2 linked regions of the Saccharomyces cerevisiae S288C genome follow. The gene in region 1 interacts genetically with each later gene. Each region holds a gene or a part of one and is shown in the gene's direction. Other genes may lie near its edges.

What was found. A genetic interaction does not mean that the proteins touch.
Region 2: mutations in TFA2 (region 1) and ATC1 together harm fitness more than expected from each alone (negative genetic interaction), as found in Saccharomyces cerevisiae (2 studies listed by BioGRID).

The regions. Positions count from the first base shown.
Region 1 is NC_001143.9:557,565-561,212, forward strand, and holds TFA2 (transcription factor TFIIE subunit TFA2), read left to right. Parts: upstream 1-2,101; coding exon 2,102-3,088; downstream 3,089-3,648. Other genes in the region: mannosyltransferase KTR2, read left to right, coding at 113-1,390; rRNA-processing protein LAS1, read right to left, coding at 3,225-3,648. UniProt on the Saccharomyces cerevisiae protein: Recruits TFIIH to the initiation complex and stimulates the RNA polymerase II C-terminal domain kinase and DNA-dependent ATPase activities of TFIIH. Both TFIIH and TFIIE are required for promoter clearance by RNA polymerase.
Region 2 is NC_001136.10:830,010-833,136, reverse strand, and holds ATC1 (Atc1p), read left to right. Parts: upstream 1-1,623; coding exon 1,624-2,508; downstream 2,509-3,127. Other genes in the region: SND1 (Snd1p), read left to right, coding at 1-278; UPS3 (Ups3p), read left to right, coding at 664-1,203; PLP1 (Plp1p), read right to left, coding at 2,860-3,127. UniProt on the Saccharomyces cerevisiae protein: Involved in cation homeostasis and in the regulation of the cation stress signaling cascades. Also involved in bipolar budding.

The DNA.
Region 1 (3,648 bases):
GATGATATTCTTGATTCTTTATATCTCTTCAGGTATGTGACACCTATACATGCAACGCTTTTTTTGCGTTTTTTCTATACAATAGTTGTTTATTTAAAAGCGTAGGAGCTTCATGCAAATCTGCAAGGTATTTCTTACACAGGTTAAAAAACTACTTTTTGTTAGTCTTCTATTTTGCTTGATAGCTCAAACATGTTGGCTTGCACTTGTACCATATCAGAGACAGCTGAGCCTAGATTCGTATTTTTTTAGAAGATCTCGAGAAGTTTCATCGAGATATGATTTTACAAGGAGGCGACATATGAATCAGACGCTGAAGCTATCTAGCAACACTTATAATGATGAACCACTAAACAAGACCAAGGGAATAAAAAATCAAAGAGAAAATGCTACATTGTTAATGCTTGTGCGTAATTGGGAACTTTCGGGGGCACTCCGTTCCATGAGATCACTAGAAGACCGTTTCAATAAAAACTACCAGTATGACTGGACATTTCTTAATGATGTCCCATTTGATCAAGAGTTCATCGAAGCCACCACAGCCATGGCTAGTGGTAGAACGCAATACGCTTTAATCCCTGCGGAGGACTGGAACAGGCCATCTTGGATCAACGAAACTCTATTTGAAGAGGCTTTACAATTAATGGAGGAAAAAAATATCTTGTACGGTGGGTCAAAGTCATATAGAAATATGTGCCGATTTAATTCTGGATTTTTCTTTAGACAAAAGATATTAGATCCGTACGATTTTTATTTCAGAGTTGAGCCAGATGTAGAGTATTTTTGCGATTTTCCCTACGATCCATTCAAGGTGATGAGGCAGAACAATAAGAAATATGGCTTTGTGATAACTATGTATGAATACGAAGATACAATTCCGAGCCTATGGGAAGCTGTAGAAGAATATCTCGAAGAAACAGAGTCAGCAGATATTGACATGGAAAGCAACGCTTTCGGGTTCGTATCAAATTTCGACTTCATCGGTAAATCTTTTGGTGTCATCGATAGTAACAGCGGCTATAATTTATGTCATTTTTGGACAAATTTTGAAATTGGCGATTTGAACTTTTTCAGAAGTGAGAAATACATTAGATTTTTCGAGTACTTGGATTCAAAGGGCGGTTTTTACTATGAAAGGTGGGGAGATGCACCAGTTCATTCGATTGCTGCCTCACTTCTTTTGAAAAAAGACGAAATCATCCATTTTGATGAATTAGGCTATAAGCATATGCCTTTTGGCACGTGTCCATCTGCATACTACCTGAGACTTCAACAAAGATGTCTTTGTGATAGCAATCACCCAGACAATATTGATCTCAATGTCATCAGCTGCCTGAGAAGATGGTGGAAGGACGGCAGCGGTAAATACTTCCTCAAACACGATTCATAGCGAGAAAAGCGTGTATCCGCATACTATAAATACGTATATATAACAAAGTAACCATCAAGAAAGATGTTCCATACCTCAGGTCATCACCATTTCATGGGTCGCTTAACCGAAAATATCAGAAGCAACCTCTAACGGCGATGGTTTTAAAGATGGATTACCTCAGCACCAACAGTTACACTATTCGGAACCGAAGATTTATCTACGATACTCATTATCCTTTCTCTATCTCACCCTGAAATAATTTATTAAAAATAAACTATGCCAAAGAAGAGAAAAGAGAAAAATTTAAAAAAAACGAGAGCCATTGCAACAGTTTTGGAAGTAAGAATAGGTTGAAAATTAGTCAAAAAGACAAATCCGGCTCCTATAAACCATCAAACAATAGGCTCCCTAAAGCATCACAAATTGTTATGCTTTCTTTTAAGAGAAATGTTTTTTAAAGCATCAAAGGTCCAGGGCAAGAAAAATTCTTTCTGGTAGCAAATGCTATAGTTCACGGCTTTTATAGTCAAAATGTTATATGCGAGAAGAAAAAGAAAAGCGCGAGCTTACTTCGGGTAAGAAGTTCACTTACGAATCAGGGCAAAAGAGCTAATAAGAAGTGAACTAGTTACATAACCGTGTGCTCTGTAGAACACGAGAAAGCTGTTACACAGAACTGTTTTATACCAAGTAGTTCGTTCGATTTGGAAAAGAGAGTAGTCTTTTGCGATGAGTAAAAACAGGGACCCTCTACTGGCTAATTTGAACGCTTTCAAAAGCAAAGTGAAGTCTGCCCCGGTGATCGCACCCGCTAAAGTTGGACAGAAGAAGACCAATGACACAGTGATTACTATAGATGGAAACACTAGGAAGAGGACGGCCTCCGAACGTGCGCAAGAAAACACTTTGAACTCTGCGAAAAATCCTGTGTTAGTGGATATCAAGAAAGAAGCTGGGAGCAATAGCTCTAATGCTATTTCATTAGATGACGACGATGACGACGAAGATTTTGGTAGCTCTCCTTCAAAAAAAGTAAGGCCTGGCTCTATTGCTGCAGCCGCTTTACAAGCAAATCAAACAGATATTTCCAAGAGTCACGATTCTTCAAAGTTGCTTTGGGCGACTGAATACATTCAAAAGAAAGGTAAGCCCGTTTTGGTGAATGAGTTATTGGACTACTTGTCAATGAAAAAAGATGACAAGGTTATTGAGCTTTTAAAAAAATTAGATAGAATAGAGTTTGACCCCAAGAAGGGGACTTTCAAATACCTTTCCACCTACGATGTCCATTCCCCTTCGGAACTGCTGAAGTTGTTACGTTCACAAGTAACATTCAAAGGTATTTCCTGCAAAGACTTGAAAGACGGTTGGCCACAATGCGATGAAACGATTAACCAACTGGAGGAAGACAGCAAAATTTTGGTGTTAAGAACTAAAAAGGATAAAACTCCAAGATACGTTTGGTATAACAGCGGTGGTAACTTGAAATGTATTGACGAGGAGTTTGTTAAAATGTGGGAAAATGTGCAATTACCGCAATTTGCAGAATTGCCAAGAAAGCTGCAAGATTTAGGTCTAAAGCCTGCTAGTGTCGATCCTGCTACTATCAAAAGACAAACAAAGAGAGTTGAAGTTAAAAAGAAGAGACAAAGAAAGGGTAAGATTACTAACACTCATATGACCGGTATCTTGAAAGATTATTCCCATAGAGTATGAGGTTGTTTTGATTAAATCATTTTCGTTTGCATATTAGGTTAAAGAGACTGTGATTATATATACATGCACGTTAGGGTGCAGCATACAACTCAGCTTTATAGTCTACAACGTATTTATAACGAGCATTGGAAACAGGTTACAGGACACCAAAGGGTTTGGGTTTCCAATTTTGAACCCTTGACCAATTTTTTACTGGTGTAGCTCTGTTCTCCTCTTGTTTATTTTTTTTACCTACTGTTCCGAAACTGCTCATTCTCTGTTTCAAAGACGCCAAATCGCCTAGTATATCATTGGTATCAGCCTTTAATGCCGGACTCACTTCCTTCTTCAATGGAACGGAATCTTTTTCCGCAGGAATAAAATCATACAGCTTTATTTCACCTTCATTAAACCTTAATGATAAATTGTCTATGTTTTCCTTCAGTTTTGCCTCGATTTCCACTGTGCTATCAATTTGTTTTCTCCGTTTTTTGTTTCTCCATGAGTTACCAGTAATTTTTTCAGTCTCTAGTTTGGCCAGCATAGATTGGCAAAAATACAATATCAAGTATGACGCATTT
Region 2 (3,127 bases), on another chromosome or scaffold:
ATAGCACAATAGTACCGAATCACCCAGACAATGATAACTATAATGATAATGATAACGACAATAATACTGGTATAAATTCCAATAATTTCAATCTAAATCTCTATGATGACAATGATAGTGCAGGCTTTACAGATGTAACAACTGAAGGAGTGAAATACTCAAACTCGAATTCTACAGTCACCAAACCCGTTTATAAAAAAGCCGTCACCCTGGATTTATACGGCGAAGATGATATGGATAACATGGGAGGATGGGTATTAGGAGGTAATGCCCGGTAAAATAATCACCTGAAAAAAACTAGGTTAAGCACAAGGCAAGGGAAAAAGCCAAATTACACATATACTTGATTATAAATAGATTAGTAAAACATATATTCTAAATTAAAACAGCACTTTAACCGATATTGTATTTTTTTTTTTGGGTTTACGTGATACTGCGTAAATCTTCAATTTTCAGGGCTTTGTCCGCAAGGGGCCCGTTTATTTATCAAAAAAAGTAATGAGATTTTCGAAGAAAGTTCATAAACCTATAGATCTTGTTACATTTGGCAAGAAAACAATAAGTGGGATCTGCGGTCCAAGCAACGCATTTTCTTTTCTCTAATCGACAAGTTCAAGTAAATATTTCTATTAGTCATATATCTCTCGAGCTTATATATTAATAATGAAATCATTTCAAAAATCTTATGAATTCGATTACCCATGGGAGAAAGTCACCACGGCGAACTGGATGAAATATCCAAACAAGATCTCCACACACGTTATTGCAGTCGATGTGCTCCGCCGAGAGCTCAAAGAACATGGCGATGTACTTCTTACAGAACGGCTGATAACCATACGTCAGAACACCCCTCACTGGATGTCCATTTTAGTGGGGAACACTAATTTAGCATACGTGCGAGAGGTCTCCACCGTTGATCGAAGGGACAGATCTTTAACTATGAGGAGTTGCAATATGACCTTCCCGCATATTTTGAAGTGTTACGAAACCGTACGTTATGTTCCTCATCCGAAAAATCCATCGAATGTGACTCTTTTCAAGCAGGATGCAAAGTTTCTGTCTGGTGTTCCGACCAAAACCTTTAGTGAGAAAGTAGAAAACTGGGGCGTTAAACGTTTTAGTGATAACGCGGTGAAGGGGAAAGTCGGGTTTGATAGTATTCTAGCAATGTTCAACGATATCTGGAAAAATGCTAACGAATAAAAAAAAATACATCTTTTCTCAAGCATTTTTTCTCAAGCATTTTTTCTCAAAAAAATAAGGATTTATAGCCTCTTTGCATATAACTACACTCAGAAACTCAAAAATAAGTGAATAGATTAATTTGCCAAAATAGTTTCTATAGCGTGTCTTTCTCTTTTTGCAAACTCGTGTCATCTTGATATAAATCAAATATTTTCTGTCATTTTTTTTTCTCTTTTTTTTCAGTTTCTAGAATTTTTTTTTTCCACTTTAGCGATGAGATGAAAAATTTCCAAAAAACATGCGGTACGGTATTTTCAATGAAAAATTTCAGAGGGCTAGTGCCCTATTGAAGAGCTCAATACTTGATTGAAGTTTTGACATCTTAAATTTTGTTGGTTCAAGTTACACTAAGGTTGTGATAGGGAAAACGTGAAGATAATGAACACGAATCAGTCCAATCCGAATACAGATTTAACAGATGATGCCAATATAGAACATACGTTGCATCGGCTGCTCACTCAGGCAAATAATCATTTTGATGATACAGTAAAGATTGATGGGCAGAGTTTAGATTTGGGAAAGGATCTCGAACAAGTTATGATGGATAATTTAGACTGCACTGATATTTTTGATTCCGACATCGCTTCTCAGAAACACCTAACATTGGAATCTTTATTTAACGATGAACACAACACCGATTCGAGCACACTTTTGGAAATGCAGAGAAGTGCTAATGATAGCCTAGTTGGTATTGATCTCGATAGGCATAAAAAGGGTTATACTGGCAAGGCATCATTAGATAAAAGTACAAACCAAAATAACGTACATAAACCTGATAAAGAACAAAAGAACTATAAGATAGATAAACCCACCATCAAGAAGAAAAAATCCCTTTTGAAAACCACAAATGAACCCATGTTATCCCCTGCATCCCTATCACCTTCATCTTCGTTAGCTTCATCCGACGCTAATGAATCCCACCTAAAAATAGAATCCATGATTACTGATATAACATCTAAAATAGATTCTGCAAGACAAGACATTGTATCTGCAACGAAGCCTGCTAAGTTCACAAATGAGTTTACAATAAGTCAAATTTCGGAAATGAAGGCAAGAATAATTAATACTCATAAATTGCTGCTCAATTTCAATTTTATTAAAGAAGGTTACGCGAGATCTTGTATTCAATTGAAAAAATCTATGGACTCTTTAAAGGATAGTGAAATTCACAGAGCACATTTATTGGTTGAGAATGATGACTTGAAGCAACAAATCCTAGAACTTACTCAAAAACTCAATGAAAAATCATCCAAGGAAAGTTAAATTTAGAGTTAGTTCTGCTAAGTTTATCTGCATTTATTGGTTTTTTTGTCTTTACTACAAAGATGGTCCAATTTTATATACAATATACACTACCTTTCTCAGTCATCGTTATTCGTACTCAACTTTTATTATTTTAAGGAACACAGTCGCATTTTTGAGTTTCATGTATAAACATTACTATACGCATATTTCGTATTTAACTTTCTATAAATCCCCCAAAACGTTTTATTAAATTTTCAACGGTACGCTCGAATAACCGATTTAGTTTGAACAGGAGGAACCATTTTCGCTCATGCGTATGGCTTAAAAGACCATCGAGTCATTTTTAGTAGGGAGGTAATGGTTATTTAGTTATATATCTAAATCACTATCACTTTCACTTCTATCATGATTTGTAGAAGCGAAGCGTTCCGTATTCACAGATGAATGCTTTCTTATTTCGAATGTGTCTTCTATAACACCTGAATGGGCTAAAGATTGCTCTAGCCTCCTAATATCAAACCCATTAGGGTCATTTCCCAGTTTACTAAATCCTACGTAGCGAACTTTTTCTAGGCCATTCTTGTATCCAACTACAAACGGAAGTACTTTAATATTCAGTTTATTAACCAAAAATGGA